Linked DNA regions of Caenorhabditis elegans. The protein of the gene in region 1 interacts with the protein of each later gene in a pairwise test. Each region holds a gene or a part of one and is shown on either strand. Other genes may lie near its edges.

The links.
Region 2: the proteins of F54B11.5 (region 1) and dsbn-1 interact in a two-hybrid assay, tested with the Caenorhabditis elegans proteins (one large-scale study listed by BioGRID).
Region 3: the proteins of F54B11.5 (region 1) and nrfl-1 interact in a two-hybrid assay, tested with the Caenorhabditis elegans proteins (one large-scale study listed by BioGRID).

The regions. Positions count from the first base shown.
Region 1 is NC_003284.9:13,593,621-13,597,775, forward strand, and holds F54B11.5 (RING-type domain-containing protein), read right to left. Parts: upstream 2,449-4,155; 5' UTR 2,448-2,448; coding exon 2,359-2,447; intron 2,026-2,358; coding exon 1,908-2,025; intron 1,859-1,907; coding exon 1,701-1,858; intron 1,567-1,700; coding exon 1,518-1,566; intron 1,141-1,517; coding exon 949-1,140; 3' UTR 501-948; downstream 1-500.
Region 2 is NC_003279.8:9,934,139-9,937,933, forward strand, and holds dsbn-1 (Dysbindin protein homolog), read right to left. Parts: upstream 1,885-3,795; 5' UTR 1,877-1,884; coding exon 1,764-1,876; intron 1,542-1,763; exon of another isoform or gene 1,468-1,541; coding exon of another isoform or gene 1,448-1,467; intron 1,393-1,447; coding exon 1,330-1,392; intron 1,273-1,329; coding exon 914-1,272; intron 858-913; coding exon 760-857; 3' UTR 501-759; downstream 1-500. Other genes in the region: epg-8 (MRG domain-containing protein), read right to left, coding at 15-111; mekk-3 (non-specific serine/threonine protein kinase), read right to left, coding at 2,119-2,280, 2,329-2,682, 2,729-2,895, 2,945-3,072, 3,123-3,244, 3,597-3,758.
Region 3 is NC_003282.8:9,119,699-9,124,391, forward strand, and holds the start of nrfl-1 (Na(+)/H(+) exchange regulatory cofactor-like protein nrfl-1), read left to right. Parts: upstream 1-1,673; 5' UTR 1,674-1,782; coding exon 1,783-2,562; intron 2,563-3,579; exon of another isoform or gene 3,580-3,980; intron 3,981-4,106; exon of another isoform or gene 4,107-4,178; intron 4,179-4,693. UniProt on the Caenorhabditis elegans protein: Scaffold protein that connects plasma membrane proteins with members of the ezrin/moesin/radixin family and thereby helps to link them to the actin cytoskeleton and to regulate their surface expression.

The DNA.
Region 1 (4,155 bases):
CTCCAATTATCAATGCAACAGAAATATGAATACTTCAATAAACATAATTGTATATTTGAACGAAGAATGTAATAATTTTTTTTTTTTTAGTTTTTCCATTATGCTTGCACGGTGTTAAAAAATTTAAAAAATCTACATATAAATTTTCCATATTCAGGTTAACATTCCGATTTTCCAAAAAAAAACGCATTCGGTTTCTTTTTTTTGCAAACCATTCAAAAAAACATTATCAAAATGGATTTAGTGGAAAAAGTTGAAACAGAAATGTTGCTGATGAGTATGTTCAGTTTCTTTTTTTAACAATTGAATTGCTATTTTTAAGGCAGTTTTGAGCAAACTTTTCAATGTTTTAAATTTAAATAAGTTTAAGTTTCAAAAAATAAACCAGCTTTTGTAAATCTAAGAATACACGGCAAGCATTTTCAGTACCCAATTCAATGTTGTCCAAGAATTTCAAATAACAAAATAGGATTCATGCAGTACTGATTATTGAAATAATTAAAAAGGTTGAACGTGCTTTATTCAGATATTTACATGGTAACAAAGTATACATCATTTGAATACAAAAAAAATGAGTTGAAACATTTGGAATTTGGACCTGAGAAGTGCGGCAGTGCAAAAATAATTTCTACCATTAGTGCCCAGAAATTACCAAACACCAGTTAAAAAACTAATTTGCACTGCCCCCACTAAAAAAATATTCGACTGTGAGCTACTCACAAGAAACCGCTAGGCGCACATCGAAACCGAGAAAGAAGGAAAAAAAATGGCTAAGGCTGAGAATGAACAATGAACCGTTAATGGAGTTATGGTAAGTTTTGAACTTATAAATGGAATAAATAAAAATAACGTTTTCCAAGAAACAACGAATGAGAAATGTGAGAAAAATCAGACAGGAAAAGTGAGCGGAGGCGAGAGAGATTTGGAGCTAGTTGAATATAGTTTAGATCAAGTTTCACGGGCGATTTCCTTCAAATACTCGTTCACTTCAGCCTGGTCTGGAGCATCTGGCACCTCCCAAGATGATTCGATGGGGTTTCTGATCTTTGTCTTGCAAATCGGGCATGAGAAATCGTGGCGGTATTCCATTTCGTTGGCGATGCATCGGATGCAAAAGGCGTGGAGGCACGGGAGAAGCAACTGAAAAATAAATAAAATATCTTTATTTTTATTTTTCAATACTCCGTATCTACTATTTACAGTTTTTTATTCAAATATGTTCTTTATGAGAACTGGAACTTTGGAAATATTCCTTGAGCTCAAATGAGTTTACCGATATGAATCCACAGATAAAAATTTGCGGAAAAATGCCTTAAAATTATCCAAAGTAAACAAGTTTGGGATTTCATAATTGTTCATTTCGAAATCTTGATCGATATTTTCTCAAACTCATGTTAATGAACCAGTAGAAGAAAAGTTTTTAAATATGAGGAGCACTACCAAGGTTTTAGATTCCAAAATACAAAATGTACGGACCCACTAATGAATTAATTTTGAATACGAAATTGAAAACTTACATCGTTGATGTTTTCCATACAAATCACGCAGTTACCCTCGACATCCGATCTGCAAAAAAAAGTTGAAGTGACCTGTGAAAAATTTTAAGGTTAAAATTTACTAACGAAACAGTCTTAATTAAAATACATTTTCTTTCCAAATATAACGATATCAGTGTATACTTTTTTCTTCGTGTAACTTACGTTTGAGTCAAAATGAATTGACTAGTCGACATGGGATCCACGCTTCTTTTACGGCTTTCCTTGTTGGTGATCATCAGCTTATGTAGATCATATGTGGAGAGAAACTCGCGAAACGTCAGCTCCTTGTAGTTTAACACTTGCTTCGACATTTGATTAACCTGAAAATTTATTTTTTCAATGTTCGATTTGTACAATGAAACTACTCACCTTGCAGCAGAGAATTTTAATCTCTGACTTCCAGTTTTCATATCCTTCACGCTGATAGTCAATGTTCCGGAGAGCGAAGGCCAAGTACTCCTCGTTTTCGACAAGAAGACTGCGATAACTGAACGAATAAAATGTTAGTTAAGGTCGTGACGCCATATTTCGTAATGTTTGGGAAACTTCCGAGGAATCCGATCTTTGGTGCAGGGTTCATAAGCAAACACTTCAAAAAATGTTGCGAAAAGATTGTTTCACACTTTATGTCCAAATTATTTTTCGAACACCGCTAAGGAAAGCCTTTTTATTTATAAATTTTTAATTGTTGCTGTATAAAAAAAATAGTGGTATTTTCAAAAAGATTAAGGAAATTAAAACATTTGGAAATTATATTTGATTTTTCAAATTATGAATTATAAATATTGCAACCAAATTTGACTCTAACAAAAAAACATACTTTCGGTTCATTTCCTTAATATCGGCCAAAAATTCATCCCATGTGCATGACTGAAATCGTGGATGTCGTTTTGATTGATTAGTACCCATCCTGAAAAATATTTTATAATTTAATCTATTAATTTACAAGAAAAACGTATGTTTATGCGGAATTAGTCATGCAAAACACATGACATCAGGAAAATGGTTCAAATAAACTGCGAGCAGGGTGGAAGAGCGGAGTAACGTAGTGCGAGAAATTGAGTGAAACGAGAGACACAGAGAAACATAAGAAAACGTATCGCATGAGTCCCTTGCACTCGTGAACAGTGAGCAAATTAATTGTATGCAAAAAAGGCAAGCACACAAAGTGCAGGAAATATTCTGGAAATTAAACGTATAAAGACATTTTTCTAACAAAACAAAAAGTTTAGTATTTTATGAATTATCTAACAATGTAAGTCATTCTATAAACGTTGTCATCATACATCATACCACTTTTGAACTATCTGTTTTATCCAGCTTGTAAAAATCAGGCACCTCTATTTGAAATTTTTTCGTACACAAAAAACTGTTTTTAATAAATGATTACATAGGCACATTACGCGTCTTATCATATGGTTGTTAACCTGTTCAGCAGATAGAAAAATTGATAACAACGGAAATGAGTCATGTAAAATCGATCCGGCCTAACATAATTAGCCGAGCTCGGAAAGTTCCGCAAATCTACTTTTTTGAAATTTGCCGAGCCCGGCAAACGGCAAATTTGCAGCACACCTACTCAGATAAAGATGAAGCCGATTAGGATACATCAAGCAGATCAGTGCAGAAAAAACTGATTGTCCCAACCGACTTGAGTATCTTCGGAAGTCAATTATAGTCTAGTTAACTTAGTTAACTTAGTTAATTGTCTAGTCAACTGCAATCCACAGTCGAAAAAATGCTCACATAAAAAAGACATAAAAAATTATCACATTTTCCTAGTTTGTTAAGCACGGCAAATATTAAAAAACGATATTTGCCGAATTTTCCGAGCTCTGAACTGTAGAACTGAACTGTACATTATCACCCATTACTACCCTTCGTTTTGTTTCATAGGATCCAACAAATTTGGGCGTCAAGAAAAGAGAACGAATTGCAAAAAAACTGCAGCGCCAATATTTTATGGTTCTCATCTTTGCGATATTTTTATGTGCACCGCCGCCCTCATCTATTGCCGCGTTGGAAGGAAAATATACGATATTCAATGCTTACTTCAAAATTTATTCTGGATATTTTTGAAAATCTCGCAGACGTGTTCAGTCAGCATTCGTGGTTGAGGATATCGAACACAAAAAAAGATATCATCGATCACGTGTGATGACAGATTTTCTGCGACTAACAGGTTTGCTTAATAAAAGTTACTAAAACGCTGAAACTTCTGGAAATCATTTTAATACTGTTTTCTTAAGATATCTTTGCAAAACTGGAAAAATACCAGAAGATAATCAAAGTCAGTCAACCCTCTCTGTACATTTCTGTCACATTCCTTCTGTTTTTCTATTTGGTGCGTAAAAAACGAATATTGTTTTAAAAAACAATATTTATCCCTAAAAATTTCCAACAAGAATTTCCACATATTTCTCTTGATATTCAATTTTTCAAAATTTTCGGCTAGCTGGGCTCTAATTTCCGTTAGTCACAAAATCTCATTTCCCGTTTTGCGAAGCCCTTCAAGCTTCAATAATACACCATTTCAGCCTACGAGAATCATAAAAATTTTATGATTAACTACGACGTAACCAAGGGTATCTGAGCTTTTGGGGCAATCTTTTGAGAT
Region 2 (3,795 bases), on another chromosome or scaffold:
ATTGGATGGCTCACCTGGAATAGGAACACCTGTCACTGTATGGGAATGTCTGCGTATCCTATGCAATACTACAGGTGCTGATCTGCTCTCAACTCCTCGTAAACTATCCATTCATTGATTTATCTTTGTGTAGCGTTTACCGCTTACAGCGTCTGAAATATGTCTGATTTAAAATTTGGGTACTTATGGGTTTCGTTCCCCCCAAAATGAGTTTTTTTAATCGATTTTTTTAAAGAAACAAAAGTTTACGAATTTTCAGACCTTTAAAAAAGAAAAAACAATCGGAAAGAAAAGAATAAAAGCTTTAAAAATCGATCAGTTGTCTGGGTACGATCACGCGTGAATTATATCGAAATATACGCAATTTTGCGTCACGGTGTTTGCAGACTCTCAGTCTGTGAAGTCCTCTCGGACAATTCATTAATTTTTTATTTCGCGAAAGAACGAAGGTTCTTGCATAAAATTCTTCATGAGAACTTGATAAGGATTGAGAGAAAATTAAATTTTCAAATTTTATTCAAGTAAGAAAAACATCAGGCATTTGCTGTTGAAGCAAACCAATAAATACATGGAAAGTACAAGGCTTCAAAATAAGGCGATGGGTCAGTCAGAACAATAAATAAAGCAAATATTGCGATAATATGCGTTACGTACAGAACGAAATGGTTCTATTGCATGAGGAAAAGATAAGTAAAAGTGGGCGGGAAGAATGTTGGTTTGACCAAATTGAAATGAGGAATCACAGGAAAAGTTATGAAATCATGGAAGCTGCATGTTTTTGGAAGAAAGAAACTCCTCGAGCATCACTTCTTCTTGCTGAGCCTTAACGGCATCTTCAGGACGAGAACGGAGTGCAGCTGAAAGTTTTATGATTCAAAATAGGAAAAAACTATTTAAACACTCAATCACTCACAAGTCAAAACGCTGGGAGATTCACACTCGATTTGCACAATAGTAGCTGCTGATTTGGCTTGTTGTCGGATTAAATCAACTTCTCCTTCAGTATGAGCAACTTCGCACAGAGCTTCCAAATACGTCATCGCCTGTTCAGTTTGGTTGCAGAAACGCGTGAGTTTCGAAATTTGAGCGTTGATTTCTCGAATCTTCTTGTCAAATTCTACAGAATTTCGGAGGAACTCATCAATTTCCATAACCGCATCGGCCTTTTCTTTACACATTTGCTGGCATCTTCCCATTCGAGTACTACAAAGATTCGCTAAACGACCCCCTTCGGCTCCATTTTCCTCTACTTCGGTGATAAGATTTTGAAAACTGAAAAGATATCATGATAACCTTCTATTATTAAGATTCCCGAGATTGGTAACATACTTTTGAAGCAACTCATTTCCAGCTGATGTGTTCAAAATTTCATTGACGGATTCGGTAGACACTCTGGAAAGAAAATGCATTTTTTTCAATTGCAAATTTTTTTGGATAGAAAACTCACTCAGAACTCCAAAAATTCATTTTAAAACGTAGTTTTTGATATAAATATTAGAGAATTTGTTTCGAAACTATCGAAAAATTCTCAGTTTTGAAATGAAACAACGTCATAAAAATACAATTGCATGGTTTATGCTAATTCAAGTGACTGTTTGTGCGTATGTATACTTTGAAGAGGAATATTGAACCTAGAATTGTGTATAAGTGTAGGTGAATACTAATGGGGATCGAAATCGGAAAATTATTTGTGAAATTACAATAAGAACTTTAATTTTCGATCAAATTTACAATTATTTTCATTTTTCAAGATTAAAACTTACTTTTGTTGAGCAACAATGTTCGCCGAAACATTCATTCTAAGTTTCTCTACACCTGTGCTCAACTCTGCTTGAACACTGCTCAATGTGTCCCTTAATGTGTTAAGCATGTCCATTTTGTATTCTGAAAATATATACCCGAATATTTGAAAGTGAAAATTGAATTAAAAATATAATTCGGCAAAATCAAACCGATTAACTTCAAGAACAATTTAAAAAATAAATACAAAAGATACTCGTTTTATGTACAAGTTTGCAACTAACAGTGACTAGAACCTCGTCCTCGTGAACGACCTCGTGTAATGTAAGAGAAATATGGCAATTAGTAAAACAGAAAATTGAGAAAAATGGTGAAAATCTAGAAATAGTCGTCGTCGTCATCAGAATCTTCATCTTCATTTTCAGAGGATTCTTGAAGAATTGGAAGTTCTAGAAGAGTAGATGCATATGGTCTTTTGGCGACTGATTGAAGCATAAGTTTTGCCATTTTGATCAGATTTTCGTCAATTTTTTCGCTTGTCTGCAATTATTTATTTTAAATGTTTTTCGTTTTAAATATTATTTTTACCGTAAAATTCGGTGGATTTTCATCGAGAATTCTTGGTACAGTAATCGGATGTTCACCATCTATAGACCATGGATATACTCCTGTATACATTTCAATTATAATAACTCCAAGACTCCAAATATCAGATCGCCTTCCAGAAACATGTCTTCCTAACGATACACCTGGATCAGTGTATTTTGGAGTTCTTCCTTGTTGTCCTTCACGTTCCCGCTTCAGTGAGGAAAACCTGCTCGATCCGAAATCCGCAATTTTAATGAGCCTTTCGCGATGCGTATTTTTTAATAAAAGGTTTGCTGGCTTTAAATCTTGATGAATTATGTTTTTCGAGTGCAAGAACTCTAGTCCTTCAAGAATCTGAAATCATTTTTATAGTTTTTTTCTACAACTTTGAGATTCTTACCTGTTTTGCGTAAGCCTTAACCAGCTCATGATGCAAAGGTCCAGTTCTTGCAATATATTCTTGCAATGATCCAGTATGCATATATTCCATAAGAATATGAATATCGTTTGATTTTGAAGGCTCGATTATGTACAAATATTCAACGATTCTCACATGTCGCAGCATTCCTGAAATTCTTTTTTTATTTAATAATTAAAATATTAAAACTCTGCTCACTCAGATATTCCACATCGGCTTCTTGAGGAAGATGTCTCCCGTGTTTCGAAATGATTTTCACCGCATAAGTTCCTCCTTTTTTTCCTTCTGCCAAGTATACGGATCCAAGAGTTCCTCTTCCAATCAGCCTGAAAAAATAATTTTTTTAAAATAAATTTCTTTTGTAAATTTATCTTACTTTCCCAAGCTATAACGCCTCGGTATACTTGGCAATTTTTCGGAATATCTGCTTGCTTGACTCGGCAATCCGTACGATCGACCAGCCAATGTTCCTGCGTAACTTTGTCGATCAAGGTCATTCTGTAAGATGAACAAAAATTATAATAACTTTATTTTTCCATTTTCTCGAAAAAAAATGCAACGATTTGTTCACAAAAAAAGCCTTTAAAAGTAATTTTAAAAAGTTTGTTCAATGTTTTGAAAACCGTAGCCGAAAAATATTCAAATCGAGTGATGGGTCTCGCCACGAAATGATTTTTGTGCGCCTTTAACTGAAAACTACGGTTCTCTTTTTGTTTCAACGGATTTTGTTCTTCATTTTTGAGATCTTTTCTTGCTTTTTTCTTCGAGTTTACTTTTTAAATGATATTTTCATTTTCTATTTAGATAAGAAAATTCTAAATTACATTTTCAATAGCTATTTTATACTTACGGTATTCGGCAAACTGTCCATTAGCGCTTTCATAACGATATTAGGCTCAGGTTCTATTTCATCAGGTTCTGAAACCGTTATTATATTTCCTGTTTTCACTCGAACTGTGTCCTCTTCATATTTTTGCAACACAAATTCCACCACTAGTTTCTTTCCATTGTGCTGAAATCTTACTAATTAGCTTTTCTGTCAATCGTCT
Region 3 (4,693 bases), on another chromosome or scaffold:
GGAGAAGAAACTGCAATTTTTGTTTCTATTTTACCAATTGTTTAAATATTTTCAGAGGAGGATTAATCACTGGTGACCGAATCTTTGCTGTCAATGGTCACTCGATTATTGGAGAAAATCACAAGAAGGTGGTTGAGCGCATAAAAGCAAATCCAAATCGATGTGAAATGCTTGTGATCTCTGAAGAAGGAGCTAAGTGGTACAATGAAAATAATGTTCAAATCACATTGGACCTTCCAAATATCGAACGAGTTTCTCCAATGGTTAGTCAAAATGTAGATTTTATCTTTACAAAATTAAAAAAAACAATTTTGTGTGACTTTTCTCATTCTCCTAACTTTATTTTAAATTCTAAAATTTTTAACATGTAAGATAAAAAAGTCTTCATTGTCGTGAAGAATGCAATATTCGTTTTTGACAGTAAAATTAGAAACATTTTCCATTTGTCTTATTTCCCTTTGTTGCGCCTAAAATCCCTTATGTTACCAATTGTCAGAGGAACTCCTGTCATCCGTCCAACAATTCTCCCCCGCCAAGTTCGTGGTACGCACCCACGTCATATTCACAGGTCAGTCTTTTTGCCTTTTCACATAATTTTCTCCTTTCTCCACTTTGTTTATTCCTCATTGTTATTTTGTAATTTTCAAACAGTATCGAATATCAAATAGTATAGCTGTAGTTGCTCATTGAGCATCATTTGTTTATTTGACACCTCTAGTTGCACTTGATCAACCGAACTTCGTATATCTACTGAGTCACACTGAACCATTTTTATGCGTCATTTTCATATGTTCTCACACTAAAAAAGGATTGACAAATATTTCGAGGTAGATAGACAGGGAGTCGATAGACAAGAAATGACGTCATTTTAGATGAAAGTTATAGGAACAATGAAAATTAAAAATTGGTAATTGAACCTGGGGAAATTGGAATTAACATTATTAATGGCTATGCAATTTTAGAACTGAAATTTTTAAAAAGTTATACAATATCCGATCTCAAATGAAGAAATGGAAATAAAAATTCTTGCAAAAAAATTGAATAATTTTTTTCTGTTTCATAAATAGTTAAAAGACTTATTCATAAATTTCAAAAATTCGGGAATTGCCTTTTCCGCACAAAAAATGTTTCCTCATTAAGGAAAACCCGTGGTTGGTTTGGAGACTATCTTGAAATTGTAATGCACATATTCTGTCATTCGATGATGCTTTATATAGTTTAGGCGATTGAAATCTGATTAAAACTTTTCTTTAGAACTCCATAAAAATATTTGATTTATTGCAAAAGTTTTGTAAACTTTTCTAAGTTCCTTGTAATATCTAAGTATTGCTAAGACATCATTTCTAGTCATCCACTTGTACTTTCTCTCCTCCAATTTTTGATTTACAATCTGATTCTCCATGCACTCCAAGACGTTCTCAACCATTATTCTTCAAACGGAACAACTTTTCGATGATTCTCGAATCGATGAAGAAACGGACGACACAATAGCGTTGGTTTTGTGTGTGTGTGCCTGTTTTGTATGTTAATATTCAATAAAAATATGAAGAAGATGGAAAAAGACGGGGCAAAGAATTTATGGGCCAAACCATACATATTCTATGCATTGAGGCACGAAGAGGGACAAAAAAGTTATATATCTTGACAAACAAAGGAATACCAAAAAGGCACTTTTGTTTGATTCACATTCCTTGGCTCTTCGGCACATCACTACAGTATTCTCAACTCTTATTCTCAGCTAAGAAATTTCAATTCTAAATCTGCATATTGCCTTCTTCAAACATGGATCGCAATCCATCTGAACCAGAAAGAATAGATTGGAAAAACCCAATCACGTGGATTTCGTATCTCTACACCTCTTTCGTGTACTATTTGTGGTTGATCTCCTCGCATCTACCACATCTCCCACAACCACAACGGATTACCGATGACAAATCAACGGAGCAGATCACCAGAGACGCAGGTATTCCGCGCACTGAGATAGTAACACGAGGAGATGCTACGCAGACAGTTAGACAAGTAGCGGGTCTAGGGGACCCAGCGCCAAAGGATTCATCATTATTGCCTCCCTCTTCGTCGTTCGTCTATTGCAACAACTGTCTAACACCTCATTCGTCTCAGAGGACTTGTTCTCCAGCCTACGTCTCTACTCTCTCAAGACAAAAGTCTTTGACGTTGCTAAAGAAATTGAAGAAACCCTCATCATCTGCTTCTTCCACCACTACCACCACATCATCGACTGTATCTTTCCGTGCACCTTCACGTGCATCATCAACGATCTCCGACGCTTCTACCATCCGCCCATCTGAACTCATTGCTATCGTTCCATCTGGTAGCCACGTGTTGCTGCGAGTTCCGAAACTTGATTGGAAAACTGAATCAATTCGAATCAAAAGAACTAGAATGAGTGATTGGATGGATGCGGAGCAACGGGATGTGATGAGACAATTTGATGAAGTTATAAGATCAGAAGAAGAAGACGAGAGGACCTCACGAAAAAGGAACGGAATCTTCAAAGATGGATCTGTAAGGAGTATTGAATCATTGGAATCTAGGAGTCGGGTGAGCACACGTTGTGATTTTGAAATATCGACTCAAAAATAAAACTTCTTTCTAACAATTATAAATTTAAAAGTTAGAGAATTATCTATTAGTATTGCACCCCCTTACTGTAGGCAGCTCATAACTGATTTTTCATTGATTTTATTATAATTTGACAACTTTCTACTTATAATCTATTTTACTATAATTTTTTAGTTAATAATTTTGTTGATGTCAGCAACTGTCTTTAAAATGAACCGATAGCTCCAAAGAAACGATGGAAAATTATATTTTACGGACCAAAGTTGATCCAAATTTTTTGCTGACAATTGTTCCTGTTTATTCAAAATTTAAAAATTTAAATTACACATTTTTTGGTTTGGGCTATAATTCATCATAAAACCATACTTCTTTAAAACGTGAAATCTCAACTTGTTTTACAGCATTTCAGATAAAATGCACACCGTAGAATTAATTGAAATGGTATTTCAACTGGTTTCTTTTCTTTGTTTTTCATCTTTCCCATACTGGTACGCGTGCCTATCCTTACCCAAATTCTTCAAAAACAATTTGATAAGGATTTCAGTATTTTTTCTTTAAATTGATTAGAGACCAACTTCGCCAAACTATCAATTGGGTACTATGTTTTATAAACTATTCCAACATTTGTTGAGGTATTCGTCATCCTCTTCAACTTTTTTCTTCAATATTTCCATTTTCTCCAAAAAGAATTTCATTTTCATATAAATACGAGTATCATTTCCTCTTCTTCATATTTCTGACTCATCTTTCCTCCATCTTCTCTTGCATACATTTCCAAAAATTTTGCCAACTTGCCAAGTAAACCGCAAACATACGAGAAAACTGTTAAAACTGTGTCTGCACTCTACGCACTCTCTCATTCAGCCTCTTGAAGCTTATGTATGTTTTGTTAAATGTGTGTTGTGGCATTGGCAAGAAAGGAGAGAGAAGGTAGATCATTTTTTATTGAGAAGAAAATGACAATGAAGAAGACAAGTAATAAAAAAATATGTTTAGTGCGAGAGAAACAGAACAAAATGATGATTTATGATCAAAATTGAGACATTAGAAAGTTGGAAGAGGAACTGTAAATTAAATGAGAAAATGGGATACAGAGATATGATAGCAGATAGATTTATGAGGTATTGATACGGAAAATAACATAAATATTGGAAGACTGGCGGACTGGAAATTTGCACAGTTCAATGTTAGGAAGATTGAAATGAGTGTAGAAAAACAACTCAAAGAGGAGTGTAAATTAATCAATAAATAGGTTATTATTTTTGACAATTAACACTTCAATAAATTGTGACATAATTAAAAATATGATGAAACAGAAATAGTTTTGGAAGACTAACGAGTTACCAGCATTCCAGTGTTTAACAGTATATTACAACTCGATGAAACATTCGAAAATTCTAAAATGGAAAATCGATTAAAATTTTTTACTCCTTTAAGAAATCTTGTTCGTAAGCCATATTCTCAGAGAGAACCAAATTCAAAAAAGTTGTCTGACTACAGTAATCCGCAACAATTCCACTTACCTATCATTCGTTACAAATCTTCCTCTTCGTTTCTTTGTCCTTTAATAAATGACCTTCATTTGAATATATCTAATTGGTCCTCCATTAGACACCTTCTTCCAATTGTTTTTTATCCTCCACCTGCCATGTCTTTATTTCAATCTGTCTGTGTCTCGTGCTCTCTCTCTCATTCAATAGAAAGATAGTTAACGAAGCATGACGCATTGGAATATCTTGCTTCACTAAAAGATTGCAACATTCCAATTCTATTAATTTTTACAAAAAACCAACAATCTTCTCCCATTCTTGTCATTTGTCATGTTTAGACACTTTCTCAAGTATTTTACTAATTTTCTTCAAAAAGTACACATTCATCAAACGTTGTATGTTCAATATTCTTTTCCTTCAAACAAACTTTGAATCTCATAAAATGTTTTGTGGTTTCGGAACATGTTAGAAATACAAATAACTTGTCGGAAAACTTTCACAAAACTTGAATTTTATTTCTTGGCATTTCCCAACATTGAAACGCATCTTGTAATCCGATATTTTTGGGACTTGTTTTTTATATTCACTTTTATTCGAAAGAATATCAGAAATAATATACA